Drosophila melanogaster: one gene and its partners. The protein of the gene in region 2 purifies or fractionates together with the protein of the main gene of each other region. This does not show direct contact. Each region holds a gene or a part of one and is shown on either strand. Other genes may lie near its edges. The genes, in order: CG6726, Gip and eIF4B.

Region 1 (6,653 bases), on a different chromosome or scaffold from region 2:
TTCTCCACTGGATATATAACATCCACGGGAAGATCCAGGCTGTGAGCCTGCCTTTTCAGGAACTCCACACATTCGGCTAGAAGTTAAGATGTACATGAGTAGTGCTCTTCTGTGAATTCCTTGGGGAATCCTTACTGTAATCCACATTTGGCTGCACCGTAGCTATGCGCAAATATTCGCGGAATATTTTGATTTCCTCGTTGTCCTCCCACTTTTCGGTGCTCATTTTGTGGATATGTTTTCGCTGCCAGTCACCAAACTCGAATGTGCCGCAGTTGGCAAAAAATGAACTTATACAGAAATTTTTGTGTGTTGGGTGATTTTGGTTTTATGGCCTTGGCTTCGTATTATTATCAAATAATGAGTTCGTTATCAAACTCGGTTGTTATAGAAATGATAACAGCACATATTCTTGTACAAAATTCTACCAAAACAAATGTCTAATAGCAAACGGTAGCCAATTCGATAAAGTTCACATAACACCAATAAAACTCAACCACCGTCGTTTATGGTCTGCGAAAAAATGGGTTATTATAATTTGTATTTGGTTTGATAAGAAAATAGAATACATATTAATGTAATTATTGATAATTATGATGTATATATAAAATACAACCCCTTTACGTGAAGGTTACGTTAGTTTTTGAGAACGATATCAATAGTTGTGACGATTTATTGGATATTGAATGAGGGCAAAGTCCATGACAAAAACTCTCTTCTGAAACTCGTGTTATCAGTGTGTGATTTTCATTTGTTTAGAAACAGATATGATTTGTAGTAGTCACACCATTTAAACATTTAATTTTGGTCCTACACTCATCGAGCCAAAAACATTACTCATAAGCGATAAGACCAATTGTAGCATATTGATTTCCATTTATGAGTGGAACTTCGCTTGAACATTTTATGAATCAGCAATAGAGGGGATGAGCTTCCTGTACACCTGAATTCCGTGCAGATATGTGTCGGCCCGCAAATATTCATCATGATTGTGCAGCAGCACCGGGGTGTTGTTGATGGGTGAAAATCCCAGAGCGGGAATTCCCACTTGCCGGACGTAGAAGCTATCGGTGGCGCCGGGGAAAACTCGTGTATGGGTGATCAAACCTCTGGAAAATTTCAACAAATTATGAAGTGAAAACTACACAATCTTTGTTTACCTACAGTTCATCTAGTCCCTTTTTGAAGCCCAGCCAGTAGGGATTGGAGTCGTCTATCTTGGTCACCACCGAGGGGCACTTCAGCGTGAAATCCAGTTCCACTCCACCACCGACTTCGTTGCACCACTCGCGAATCTGATTCTCCATTGCATCGGCATTCTGGTTGATGGCTATGCGAATATCAAAAGTGGCTTCTAGTACGGGGGGAACCACATTGCTTTGGACGCCACCGTTGAGTTGGGTCAGGTTCAAAGTGGTCACATCACCGGACTGCAAGGAGGAGTCCTCGGCCAGTAGCTTGACCTGGGTTTCTCGGAACTTCATCAGCTTATCCATCACAAAGTGAAACTTTTCGCCAGCCGTGCTTTTGTGCAGCAGCGATCCATGACCTGAAGTGCCACTGAATTTAAATCGAAGTTCTGCAGGGGTATAAAATGAATCAGAATATATTGCTACTGATGCAAATGGAAGACTTACGCCACAATGTACGCTCGGCGTAAAATACAGGATAAGTGTCATCTTCACTGGCGATGCCCTCGTCCAGGCTAAAGCCCACATTCATGGCTTTGAAGTAATCACCCTTGACGAATTCAGCCATGCCCATGTGTCCGCCAGTTTCCTCGTCGGGCACAAAAGTCAAATATACGGTCCTTTTTGGCTGATAGCCACTGGCTTTGAGTGCACGGACCGCAGCCATGTACTGACATCCCACGGACTTCATGTCCTGGGCACCGCGTGCATAAATCCGGCCTTGGGCGTCTATGTGGGCACCAAACGGCTCATGGGTCCACTTTTCGGGAAACACGGGCACCACGTCCATGTGTGAGTTCAATATAATGGATTTCAGCTCGGGATGCTTGCCCAGCCACTTCATAATCACCACCGGTTTCGAAGGCACAACAGGATACACCACGTCCACGCGGAGATTAAGTTTGTTAGCCTGGCGTTTTAGGAACTCCACGCATGCAGCTGCAAGGGAAATAGGGATAACAAAATCCAAGGAGCGGAAAAACAAATCCTTACTGTAGTCCACGTCTGGATGCACCGAGGGAATGCGCAAATACTCCTGGAAAATGATTATTTCCTCGTCGTTCTTCCATTGTTCCGTGCAAGTGCACATTTTGAGTTGAATGCCCCGTGGTTCTAAAGGAACTGACTTGTAATCCACCGTGCTGTTTGGTTTGAAGTCTGAGTGTGGATTGACTTAATGGCATTATCAGTTGTTGACTTTAAGCTACTTGATTAGAAGAGCCCACAATTTGCGGATTTTCATCTTTGCGCTAAGAGCTTAATGTTATCTAGCAAAGCCATAATAGTAAACCATAAACTTATTCATTTTCATTTAAATTTCCTTTTTTTGCTCACCATTAATGGTATGGACTATGGACTGGCTTATTTATTCATACATTGTTTATTTAAATGGGTTTTTATAAGCCTGCTTGTTTAAAGTTATTACAATAAACATCGACAAGTAAGCATTAAATGCATTATTTCATAATTGAATTGAGTTCGCTAAGCATCAGCTACGGCAGGAATGAGCTTCTTGTAAACCTCAATGCCGTGCAAATAGGTATCGGCTTTCAGGAATTCATCGTGGTCGTGCAGCAGGATGGGGGTGTTGTTAATGGGCGAGAATCCTAGAGCTGGAATGCCTGCGTAGCGAATATAACGACTGTCCGTGGCGCCGGGGAAAACACGAACCCGTGTCTTGAGGCCACTGAAAGAAACAAGGAGAAAGGATATCAGAGCCATGCCTTTTGTCAGAGCTTCTCATCCTTACAGGTCATCGAGTGCTTTCTTAAAGGCCAGCCAGTAGGCATTCGACGAGTCAATCTTTGTTGGCTCCACAAAGGGGTTTTTCATCTCAAACTCCAGTTCAATGCCGCCGCCAGCCTCCTCGCACCAGTCGCGAATCTGCTTCTCAAAGGCAGGGATATCCACGGTGACGGCAATGCGGATATCAAATACAGCTTCCAGCAATGGGGGAACCACGTTGCTCTGGACTCCGCCCCTCAGTTGGGTGAGATTCACAGTGGTCACATCACCAATTTCGAGGGATGAGTCGTCAGCTAGTTTTTGCACTTGCGATTTGCGGAACTCCATCATTTTGCCTACCACATAGTTCAGCTTCTCGCCAGCAGTATTCGGGAGCAACAGTGATCCGTGACCAGCAGTTCCGCTGATCTTGAAACGAAGATCTGCAGGAAAACATGGCTAGCTTAAATTGTTTGTATGAGTCAATCCTACTCACGCCAAAGAGTCCGTTCAGCGTAGTACAGAGCGTAGGTTTCATCCGCACTAGAGATTCCCTCGTCGAAACTGAATCCCACATTGAGCTTCTTGAAGTAGTCGCTCTTTACCAGCTCCCGCATGCCCAGGTGGCCGCCAACCTCCTCGTCCGGAACATAAGTGAGATAGATCGTCCTCTTGGGTTGATAGCCACTGGCCTTGAGGGCACGCACAGCTCCCAGATATTGGGTGCCCACGCACTTCATGTCCTGCGATCCGCGCGCAAAGATGCGACCCTCTGCATCTAGATCCGCGCTGAATGGACCGTGTGTCCACTTCTCCTCAAAAACGGGCACTACATCCGTGTGCGAATTGAGAATGATGGAGGGCAGTTCCGGCTGGGAACCCTGCCATTTTAGCACCACCACGGGATTCTGCTCGTTCACCGGATAGATAACCTCCACGGGCAGGTCCAAGCTGGCAGCCTGGCGTTTCAAGAATTCCGTGCAAACGGCTATAAATAGCAGACACATTTTATGGCAAGGTCATAAAGATCAGGGTACTCTTATCGCAGCCTCATAAAGATATACATGCCCATTGGAACTCACTGTAATCCACATTTGGATGCACCGTTGGTATGCGAAGATATTCGCGAAAGATCTTAATCTCCTCGTTGTTCTCCCACTTGGCTGTACTCATTTTGCACTCTATAAAATGTAAATAATTAGCCGGCTGATAACAAATCAATTAAATTGTTTGCTGAAATCAGCTGATCGACACTTCACCACAGCGGAGAGCAGACACACAACACACCTTTCGCAACACTGGCTCGACGACGACTGTGCGATCGTGGAGAGAAGCGCGCGTTTAAATATCAGCGATAAGCGAGCGAAAGAGAGGGCATGATAATAAATCCGAGAAGGAACTAAACCTAATTTCTTATCATACGGTGCTGCCTATAAACTGTTTTATCTTACGCATTTGTTTACTTTTTAGATGGCTAATCTACTTTTCAGTACAAATGACTTGCAGTTAACAATTGCTTCCGTCATTAATAATATTCGTGTCTTCCCATTTCTATATGAGAAACTAATTTGATGAATTTAATATCCAGCACTCAAAAATTCAATTGATTACAAAAGAGACATCCCCTAATAGTAATTTCTATCTTGTACTGCATTATTTATAAATTAAACTGAATTTTGCAGCTCATAGCACAAGGAGTGGAACTCTATTTCTGTACCATCCCAATTGGTAGGGATTCCACTCCATGTATTGGTGAACATTCTTCCATCACTTTCCGGTACATATGAACCCACTTTAAGGCTCATTTACTTGGGATTCCCCCTGGCTGATGGATTTATTTGCCTTAAATGGAGGCGAAGGTGCTTCGCATTGCTTTGGGGGTAACAGGACTGCAGGATTGCTGGATTGATGGTGACCCCATTTGGCCCGCAGCCAAGATTTCCGATTACTGATGAATCGCATGCAATCGCATTCCAATTCCAGTTGATTTGTTAATCAAGATGCACTGCACACGTTCGCACCACACGCCCAGTGGGCTTCCGGGTAAACAAGTTGCCCCTCCTCGGGCCTTTCAGCCACTCGAATCCAATTCAAATTTCGCATATTAATAGTGTTCCTGCTGCACTTGCCGACTTTGCTGCACTGCGTCTGTTGTCCCAGTAGTGTGTCAAAAGTTAGTTTCGCATTTAGATTTCACGCTTGTTCCCATACAGAAAAAAAGGTGGTTGGGCCAAAAAAAATACACAAAACCAAAGCCCTCTGATTTGTGTCGCATACACACCCTGCTAGGCCAAAGTTGATATTGTTTTAGTGTGTGTACTCACAAAAAGTCATTAAAAGTTCATTAACAATGTTGCTGGGATTTTAATGGCGCACCAGCAGCAATAGCAGCAACTACAGGCTACACATGTCTGCATTTTAAATAACATCCAAGCCCCACATTCGTACAAACTCGTACTCTCCCCATTTACAGCGTCACATAAGTCAAATAAATACACAAGTTTCCTGCGCACAAACACTCGTTCAGCTGCACAATGGGCCAAAATGGCAAGTTTTTGGCATAATTCGAATGTAATGTCCCTAGAATAGAGTCTATAAGTCTGTACAGAGGCTAAAGTAGTTCATTCTTAGTCGAGTAAAACACGAATCTACTTATCTGATGCCAAATTATTCACTTTTCGCCCATGGTGGTGACTTGGGGGCGCGCCTGTTTGTTGTTTGCTGATGTTGCTGCTGAGCTGACATGTTGTCGCTGGGCAAATAAACTAAATGAAAATTTTGTATATTGTAACAATTATCCGGGCAACGCCGGAAACTGTTTGCGTTGAGCACCCAAAACCTGCAGAACTGCAGAGATGGAACCCCGAGGATATCGCCTAATCCGTTATGGGCGCATTACCTGGCCAAAAAAAGCAAAAAAAAAAAATAAAAGCGAGAGAACTGATATAATCCTCCTCTGCCATTTACCATTTACCATATCCCTCGGCCCAGAGCGTACATTTCCTTTTGTTCGAGCTTTTTTCAGAGCCCATGGCAAAGTTTCGGTAGTATGGAAATATGGAATGGGAATTGGGTTGCTGGCGGACTGACAGCTCAAGGACAATCCGGAGGGCATGCGTTTGCATCGCCTGGAGAGCTTCAATTTGTGTGTGTGTGTGTCAGGCATTAGGTGGAACGAAAAAAAGGAGCTCAGCTCTTGGCAAGCACTTTAGCAAACTGCACTCACAGTCGACATCGATATACAAAAAGTGCTGGCCAACAGTGCGTATGCGTGCTGCTTACTGCCTGCACAAGGCGAAAGCACTCGAAACGGTTTTTATTCACAACTTGTGCGAATGTCATCAAAATTGTGGACCACTCGGTCTGCAAATTGGATGCACATTCATAGAGCTGCTGAAAATGCAAATGCAAGTGCGTCGGTAAAAATTGTGTGCTTACTTAATTAGCAGTCATAATTTAATTGATCGACATTTATCGCTTCGTTAAGGATAATTATTACACGTACTCGCATTAAAAATCCCCCGGCTTTAATTTTGATTGTTAAGCCTAGCATTCGCAATTCCCATAATTCAATGGCCTCGAATGCTGTTTGCTTTGCCAATTAATCGCATTCGTCGTTCAATTATGCAGCTACCAATAGCCAGATGCAATAAAGCAAATCAAATATTTATTTAGCCCTTCGTTTGTGGGTGTATAACATTACAATTTTGTTCGGATGCATTTTGGACCGGTGCAAAT
Region 2 (3,894 bases):
ATGGCTACTTCGAGGGCCCACAATGTGACCGTCACGCATAATTCGTTGGTTCAGTGGTCCCGTGGCGATATTCTCGATTGGTTCAACGAGACGCTCCAATGCAACCTAATCAATATCGAACAGTTGTGCACCGGTGCAGCCTATTGTAATTTGATGCATATGCTTTATCCCAAACTGATCAATTTGAAGCGAGTTAAGTTTTTTTCGAATCAAGAATACGAGTACGTTAACAATTTCAAGGAACTTCAAAAAGCCTTCAATAAGGTAAATGTAAGCCTACCAGCTGAGGTCAATGATTTGATCAAGGGCCACAGGGTAGAAAATTTTAAATTTGCCGTGTGGTTCCGACACTTTTTCAATGTCAATCACACTAAGGATAAATGCGCTGGCTACGATGCACTGGTAGCTCGTGACCATCAGAACATCGGTATCGGATCCTCAAAATTGACAACCAAAGATCGTTTTCGCTTGGTGAAGGTGAAGACGACAGCTATACGAGGTAAAGTTGCGACTTGCCAGGCGACGATTAACAGTAGCCTTTGCACGGGCAAAGCTAACCAGGACGAGGATAGCCAGCACACGGATAAAAAGGACGAGGATAGCCGTGACCAGGGTAGCCAGTACGAGGATAGCCCCGGCATGGATAGCCAGTACAAGGATTGCCGTGACCAGGATAGCCAGTACGAGGATAGCCACGGCAAGGATAGCCAGTACAAGGATTGCCGTGACCAGGGTAGCCAGTACGAGGATAGCCACGGCATGGATAGCCAGTACGAGGATAGCCGTGACCAGGATAGCCAGTACGAGGATAGCCCCGGCATGGATAGCCAGTACAAGGATAGCCGTGACCAGGATAGCCAGTACGAGGATAGCCACGGCAAGGATAGCCAGTACAAGGATTGCCGTGACCAGGGTAGCCAGTACGAGGATAGCCACGGCATGGATAGCCAGTACAAGGATAGCCGTGACCAGGGTTGCCAGTACGAGGATAGCCACGGCAAGGATAGCGAAGACGAGGATAGCCAGTACGAGGATAGCCAGGACATTCACATGGTGCTCCAAAGAGACCACTGATATCGTGACGTCGTCGGTTTTTAATTCCTGGCCAAGCTCATTGTCAACTCAAAACTCTCAAAAGAACTAGTCAAAGCACACGGTAGCCTCGAAGGAGTAAGGATGTGAAGACGAAGGCTGCCTGCTTTTCAAAATTAACAGTTTTGAACTCTTTAAACCAAATTCACATTTTCTCCACTGCTTTTGTATTTCATGGTTTGGAAATTGAAAATTAAAATGTTGACCCAAAACATGCGTCTTATTTAATGGTTCCCTTAATGTCCGCTAGGTGGAGTCAATGCTTTTCACACAGGTTTTATATTAAATAATAATACTAAATAATAATAATAATATTAAAAATATTAACGCTACGAGTGTTAGAACTAGTATTTTATTTAACTAACGACGAACTAAATTAAATAATATACTAATTCTAAATAATGGTTCTGATGCCAGCTAAATAACTTAAAACCTACGTATGTATGTACATATATCACGCAAAGCTTTGGTCGGAAAAGCTCCTGCTCCATATGACATTGGCAGTATCAAAAGTCGGTAGATATAATATAAAAAACGGGTAATCGCATCGTTCCCCCCCAGTTGTTTGCCAAGCGTGAACGCAGGCGGAGATTAGTGAACGGAAGATGGCACTCAAGTTTGCAGCGAATCTGAACTTTTTGTTCACGGAAAGAGCGACGTCGATCGCGGAGCGAATTCGTCTGGCCCACCAGAACGGATTCCGTGCGGTAGAGATCCCCTATCCCGAAGGCGAGACGAGCGACGTGGTGTCCGCCGTAAAGGAGACGGGTGTGGTGGTCAGTCTGGTGAATCTGGCCTTCGACAAGAGCGACGATCAGCTGCGTTTCGGCTCCACCAGTGTGCCCGGCTCGGAAAAGCTGTTCCGTAGCCAATTGGATGCCACCATTGATTTCGCCCGACAGGTTAACTGTGGCAAGATTCATCTAACCGCTGGACTCTTCAAGGGCGGCCAGGAGAGTGACTACACGAAGACGTATACCGCCAATCTAAAGATCGCCGCCGATAGCCTTAGAGCCAGTAAAATGATCGGCGTGATAGAGCCAATTAACAAGTACGCCGTGCCTGGCTACTACATGAATTCATACTCCAAAGCCGCTGGAATTCTGGCCGATGTGGCTGCGGACAACATTCAATTGCTGGCCGATCTGTATCACCTGCAGCATTTGCACGGCAACGTTTCCAAGACGCTCGAGGAGTACAAGGCGCTGATTGGACACTTTCAGATCGCCCAGGTGCCGCATCGCCACGAGCCGGATGTTTCCGGTGAGCTGGACTACGGATTTGTGTTCAAGGCTCTCCAGGAATTCGGCTATGATGGATGGATCGGTTGCGAGTACAAGCCGAAGACGACCACTGTCGAGGGTTTGGGTTGGGTCTCCAAATTGGGCTACACGCTATAATTATCACATCACATATAGTTTGGCATAAGGAACTGCTCTGCATTTATACACATGTATTTACACTGCTTACAAACATAAAGATGGTTTAACCAAAATACTTAATTCTATTACATATTTCTCTCGTTTTCGAGGCATTTTCATGGCTTTTTAAAGCTTCAATTGGTTGGTTCAATTCAATCAATTGGTTGGTTTTGGTTTAAAATGGTCGTTTTATAAAATCGATTACAATATAAAATCCTTTTTTTTCCCTTTTTTTTTGGAATTGTCATGCGTCTGTCAAAAGGTCATGGAATTGACCTACAGCAAGTGTGGAATAAAACAGTAGCTACGATTAGATAAGATTAGATAACAGGCAGATTCACGTATCTCATAAGGCGTCACTCTCGCTCCGAATCACCCGCTTGGCATATTCGGCTATGTGGAGCACCCCGTGCTCCGGTGAGGCGATGTGCAGGTTGCCTCCATTGCAGAATTTCGTGTTTATGTACGGATTGTGCAGCTCGGCCACCAACGTGGAGCAGGCCGTCGAGGAGTCACCTGTGGACTGCAGCATTTTCTAAAACGAATGAAGTTTATAATATGTGAAATTAGAAAGAAGAAAATGTTAAGATCAAAGGAAGAACTACAACTACTTTAATGTCAAGTTACTTTCCATTGGTTTAATGATCACTAAATTGAATTATCTTTATAATTGCACTTAACACAATTATAAACACTTACTAAGCTGATAATGCATGCCCTCATTAAATTGATAATGTTCTTATTATTTAATATAAAGGGCATTAGTGGAAAACTAGAACACACAGTTGGCCAAACCACAGAATATAAATATATTGTTTCACCACTTAATATCAACATTTGTGGCTAGGAGGGCACTGTCAATCTATGTACTTACCATCCAGAATTCATTACCCGGCAGGGCGTTTCCATCCCAAGCGTAAGAGACTACCAGCAGCATTCCGGCGTGCTCAGGATCACTCAATTTTCGTGCTGGATTGCGCTTGGAAATGAGCACCCTGATGCCATCCTTTGGATGCCCGGGAATCTCTATCAGCGATCCGTTGCTTAGACCGCCGCAATGTGTGATCGAAAACCAGGAGAAGTGCACGAGGCCAACGTTATTGAGCCTGTTGCCCAGCGTGCGCATACGCTGCTCGAAGGTCTCCATGAAGATGCGCTCCTGCTGTTCTGCTGCCTTCCACACGCCCAAGCCGAAGCCCACCACATGGATGTACGCCAGCTTTTTCACGCGTTTTGCCCTTGCCTCTGCCTCCAGCAGCAGCATGTCGAAGCTGATGGCGTAACGCCGCTTCATCACCAGATTGTCGAACACGTCCATCTTGTTTTTCGATGGTCCGAAACGCTGATTGTCAATGACTGCCTGGCCGTGGATGAGATCCCG
Region 3 (5,332 bases), on a different chromosome or scaffold from region 2:
GATTTACATCTTGCAAAATTTAAAAGTTATCACTTGCTTTTATGACCGAGACTTCTCCCAGCGCAACACATTAGGCCACTCCATGACATAGACTGGATTAGCTACGAAGCACTATTTGGGAAGTGTACTTGTATATTTTTGGTCATTGTATTGTTAAAACGTCCTCTAATGCATATGGGAGCATCACCTTCTTAAATGTTTCGACGTATAGATAACGATCAGTGATGGTTTTGATCCTATAAGTCACCTAAAATACTAACTTGAGTCACTGCCGTCAAAACAAAAATATTTTCGCCTTAACCGACCCCAAGATTTTACTCCTCTGCACCAATTCAAGCGATCTCACGCAAACCTAAATCATTAGGCTTCATGTTTTTTTCTGAGTAATGCCGCTTTTTTTTTTTGGCCTCTTGAAATGAGGATCTGGATCGAGTCGTCTTCTAATTACTAATAAACTTACATTTTTCGAAGAAACAGACCCGAAAGTCGGAATCCTAGATTGTCCTCCTAAGCAACGATCTCACCTTTTGGTCAATAACTGCTAAGTTACTAAAGTGAAAAAATTTAATTAATTAAGTAAAGGAATGGAGAAAATAATGAGAAATAACTTTTTGCTTGACCGGCTTTAGTATTATTTAGACCGCACCCGTGCATACATATTGTATATACAGGGTGCGGCAGCAAAACTTCCTTTTTTAAATGCGCGCCATTCAGTTAGTTGATGTCATAGCGGAGCACTAATGGCCCCGTTCAAGAGGGGCTACTGCAAAGCTTTGTCCCGACACGGTTCAGTCGCCATCTTGCGTTGGAATAGTGAGGAGCGCGCCTTTGCCGTTGTGGCCTACTTTTCAAGCGGATGTTCGGTTATTAAAACACAGCGTGCATTTCGGTATCGCTTTAATTTAGCACTGTTGGCTCCTGTCCCTGAACGCAAATCAATTGTTACATGGGTCACTACATTCAGGCAAACTGCAAGCGCGACAAAACGAAGAACTGGAGTCCCTCGACCCGTTAGATCACCTGAGAACATTGAAGCAGTGAGAGCGCCAATATTGCGATCTCCACAGCGTTCTGCGCTCAAACACGCGTCTGACCTTTGACTATGACTATCCGATCGTTCTGGGAGAAGAATTCTTTATGATGACCTTAAATTCCATCGGTATGAGATGGCGATAGTGCAGGAATTTCACAACGTGTTTATGTGAACCGTCCAAGAACGCTAAAAGAGTTGAAAACCATCATCATCATAACACCTGCTATGCTAACAAGAGTCACGACAAACGCCAGAAATCGGTTTACGCAATGTATGGAGAATGGGGGACGTCACCTATCAGATTTCATCTTCAAAAAAATATAAATAAAAACTTTGGAACTACATTTACATTTACCTAAATTATAAAAATAAATAATTATTTTCCGATGCCCACAATAGTTTATATTGAGTTCTGAAAGAAGGAAATTATGCTGCCTGTAGCATATCAAAAATTTAATATGGAGAACACACATTATATACAATACATATGTATCTGAAGTGCACATTACTAATATTAAGTATTATATATGAAAATACCAACTATTTGAATAATTTTGTGCAACTCGAATTTTATTAATAGAATAATACAAGTTAATTATGATTTTTTTTTAAATAAAATATTTCCAGCTTGAAAATCGTGTTCTCGCATAAGTAAGCCCGCATACAGTATTTTTTGTGGTTTGGGTTTTAAGCAATGGTATAATTTACAGACATCGCATTTTTTGTCGGCACCCAAAAAGTAGGTGCACGGTGAAAACCAAATATATAGGAGATACGTTATTGATTATTTGCCAAATTACGGCTTCTCCCACATTTTCGAAAAATGTTAATTTGTTGTATTTTATGTGGCGTTGTATATTTCCTCCTCCTCTGATTATTTATTATTATTATGCTTTTTGATTAGATTAAAAACTCAAGTCAGATAAAATTCACTTCTACATTCAGACAAATATTTAGATTTTAGTTACCTGGACACTTATTAATTTTGTCGCTTTCCTTGTAGTCCTGATTCGTGCGCCAACTAACTGTTGCACTTAGACTTTCATTATCATTTTTATCCACCTGGAGCTCGGCAAGTTTTTCATTTAAACCCTGTTCTCTGCGCCCCTTATCCTGTTTTCGAGCGAGAGCCAATCTTTGCTCAATCTCCAACTCCCTTGCTGCTGTATCTACCGGTTTTGCAGACCCAAACACGTTTAATGATGAAGTTCCGCCTTGTTTATCCAAATTAAATTCATCAACGTCACATTTTTCGAATTCAATTGTCTTTACATCTGGCAATGGTAAAGTTCTTGGTTTTAAATTCAATTTTGGCCTTTCTTCTTCAACTTTGGATGTCTCTTCTCGGGAATATCTGTCTGCTATTTTGACTCGACCTTCGCGATATTTTTCAGATACTTGTTCAACTTCTCTGCGTGTAGGGGAAGTATCAATAGATTGCGGCCTTGCGCTCGTGCGCCAAGATCCAGGAGTGTTCACATCATCTCTATCTGGTAAAGATTTTCTCTCTCTATTAAAGCTTCTTTCAAAATTGGAAGAATAACCAAAGTTACTGCCGTTGTTTTGGCTGTCTCGCCTCCAATTTCCGGAATCCCTATTATCTCCATTATTTCCAAAACCATCAAACCGCCTATTACTTTTTTGGCGGCTTTGCTGGTCGTTTTCATTCGATAGCTCAATGCGAATGCGGCGACCTTTAATAGAGGGGTCTGGCAAGCTAAGTACATGAATTAAATCCTCTCGATTTTCCAACTCCACATAGCCAAAGCCTCTGGAACGACCATTTTCGCCATCTTCTCTTGGTAGTCTCAGAGATATTAAATTAATACCTTCAAAGAACTCGTAGAGGTCATCTTCATTTGCGTCAAATGGTAAATTATTGATATAAGCAATAAATGGGGCTTTATGAGGAATAGAATTATCGTCGAATATCCGATTTGCCCTCGGAGCGGTTGGAAGCTGATAAACCAACGGCAATGTACCACTTCCATCATCGCTATCATCGCCATCTAAATTTCGTATTTTTTTTGAGACTTGGGTTGTTCCGACTGGAGCGTCAGAATTACATAGAAATGATTGCAAGGAGATAACTGTTCCTTTATTCTTTTTGCCCTTCTTTCCTGAAAAATAAAATAAAATATTAAATTGAAATACATACTTAAGTAGAAATGATGACCAACCAATATATACAATAAAATATTATGTTAAGCAAGATTACACATATGCATGCAGGTGGACATGTGTTCCTTTTACATTACGTGTCAAGAAAAAATCCATGCGGAACCACACAATCTCACAATTAAATTACTACCTTTTTACAATTAATAAAAAAAATTTAAACTTTAAACTTAGATATTATAAAAAAAATTTCTAACCTGCGGACGCCATTTCAACCAATGTTTCCAATCTTTAATTTTGATAATTTACCGAATTCACAAAAATAGAGAAATCAATTTTCCTATATCGTTATCGATATTTATTTCGGGCTTAACTGCACTATTTTGACAACTGGTAATACCCAAAACCCAAAGAGCACATCCTAAAGAAACAGTTGGAAATTTTGACATATGTGAAAATCCGATACTTAGAATAAAATTGAATATTCCAGTAAAGTTTGATGACTTTTCTGTTTTTATTTTAAGCTCAAATATTAAGACACAATTTACTATGTATGTATATGTTTTAATCAAAGTTACTTGTCGCTCTCTTTCAAATTCGTTCATTTTTGTATGCTTTTTATGGCTAACATTGACTATGTACCGTAGTACGGAAATGTTTTCTAAATATGAATAGTAAAAAAATTTGTTTATTTGAACCTTAGTGTTAATATTTTTTTTCTAAATATGAAACAAATTTTAATACATACAATATAAAATAAAATTGTATCATGTAAATTCTTAGCACGATAAATTACTTAGTTTTGTTTTCAAATATAGTTAATAATAGCCTACTCGCTGCACAAGGCAGCTTTGTTGGAATGTAGGAATATAGAGTTCTTTAACAAAAAGCCAAAATTAATTTCCATGATTATGTGGAGCAATTAGTTCGTTTCAACAATTGTAGTACAGCTTACAATGATTTTCTTTTAATAGGGCCTGAGTGGTGTAAACTCCTGCATTTGACAATATATTATGAGCCTAATCATAATCTAACTTGCAGTCTAAGCTGGCGATGTTCCTTATTCCACTTTCCATTTTTTGCGACCCAGTGGAAAGTTCGGAAGAGTTTGTGAGAAATAATTGTTGTGTAGTGATATTTTATCCACATAACAAGAAAAAAGGTTGTTTCCATAACATAAACGCGTGCATGGTTTTCAATAAATTACAATGTACTATATGTATATACCCGTTACTCCTAGAGTAAAATGGTGTATTAGATTTGTTGAAAAGTAAGAAAAAACGTATCTTACGATTTCGATTTGCAATCGAAAAATCGGTGCTGAGGTTTTTGAAATGATAACAATTTTTCGATTTGTAAAACCGGCACTTTTGTCTGGCCGAAATGAAAAGTAAATATCTTTTTTATATCAAAAAATATAAAAATAGTTTACTCAGTAGTCTTTTGATGTTTATTCCACATCACCATAATATCATTCTCCCACTTAGTTATGTTATTAAAAATTTATTTCTGACCCCACCTCAAATTTTACAAACAAAATTTAGTAGCCTGTATATTCTTAATCAGGATCAATAGCCGAGTCGATCTGGCCATGTCCGTCTGTCTGTCTGTCCACTGTATCAACAACGGGATCTCTCAACTATAGAAGCTAAAGAGTTGAGATAAAGTATACAGGTTCCACAGACATAGAGCCCACTCTAACGCCCACTAACGTCCCAAAACTGACACGCTCTCACTTTTAAGCAATATACATATATAACAATAATATATCGAAATTCCAGAAAAATTATGACATTTCGCGTTCGCAGTCCCAGTACATAAGTAACGGGTATCTGATACTCGGAGAACTCGACTATTGAATTCTCTCTTCTTTTATATTATTAATTTAATTAATTAATTAATTAATTTATATTAATTAATTGTATTAATTATTCCCAATACAGATTTTTGTCTTTCGTCTATCATAGTATAAATAAGCAAAATAAACCAACACGGCTACTGATCAATTTATATACTTCTAGTTGAATAAAATATAAAAAGAGAATGCTTACAGAAGCATTTATGGGAATGCATCCAGAATTCCGGAATAATTCCACTTCCAATGTATTACAACAAGTTACCTTTAATGATTGCTTCTATATTGTTGATTGTAAAATGAATTCATTTCCTGAAAATTATACT

The links.
Region 1: the proteins of Gip (region 2) and CG6726 purify together in Drosophila melanogaster (affinity purification with mass spectrometry, with the first as the bait; one large-scale study listed by BioGRID). This does not show direct contact.
Region 3: the proteins of Gip (region 2) and eIF4B purify together in Drosophila melanogaster (affinity purification with mass spectrometry, with the first as the bait; one large-scale study listed by BioGRID). This does not show direct contact.

Annotation. Positions count from the first base shown.
Region 1 is NT_033777.3:23,089,306-23,095,958, reverse strand, and holds CG6726 (uncharacterized protein), read right to left. Parts: upstream 4,236-6,653; 5' UTR 4,203-4,235; intron 4,183-4,202; exon of another isoform or gene 4,097-4,182; 5' UTR 4,089-4,096; coding exon 3,998-4,088; intron 3,904-3,997; coding exon 3,412-3,903; intron 3,359-3,411; coding exon 2,941-3,358; intron 2,878-2,940; coding exon 2,673-2,877; 3' UTR 2,526-2,672; exon of another isoform or gene 2,500-2,525; intron 2,462-2,499; exon of another isoform or gene 2,459-2,461; 3' UTR 2,281-2,458; coding exon of another isoform or gene 2,184-2,280; intron 2,130-2,183; coding exon of another isoform or gene 1,638-2,129; intron 1,580-1,637; coding exon of another isoform or gene 1,165-1,579; intron 1,110-1,164; coding exon of another isoform or gene 905-1,109; 3' UTR 775-904; downstream 1-774. Other genes in the region: CG17109 (uncharacterized protein), read right to left, coding at 1-76, 136-226; CG17110 (uncharacterized protein), read right to left, coding at 905-1,109, 1,165-1,579, 1,638-2,129, 2,184-2,280.
Region 2 is NC_004354.4:10,327,566-10,331,459, reverse strand, and holds Gip (GIP-like), read left to right. Parts: upstream 1-1,587; 5' UTR 1,588-1,697; coding exon 1,698-2,492; 3' UTR 2,493-2,583; downstream 2,584-3,894. Other genes in the region: CG15306 (uncharacterized protein), read left to right, coding at 1-1,074; CG2909 (uncharacterized protein), read right to left, coding at 2,860-3,048, 3,388-3,894. UniProt on the Drosophila melanogaster protein: Catalyzes the reversible isomerization between hydroxypyruvate and 2-hydroxy-3-oxopropanoate (also termed tartronate semialdehyde).
Region 3 is NT_037436.4:27,854,783-27,860,114, forward strand, and holds the start of eIF4B (eukaryotic translation initiation factor 4B), read right to left. Parts: upstream 3,490-5,332; 5' UTR 3,422-3,489; coding exon 3,409-3,421; intron 3,154-3,408; coding exon 2,002-3,153; coding exon of another isoform or gene 1,994-2,001; exon of another isoform or gene 1,926-1,993; coding exon of another isoform or gene 1,921-1,925; exon of another isoform or gene 1,584-1,920; intron 1-1,583.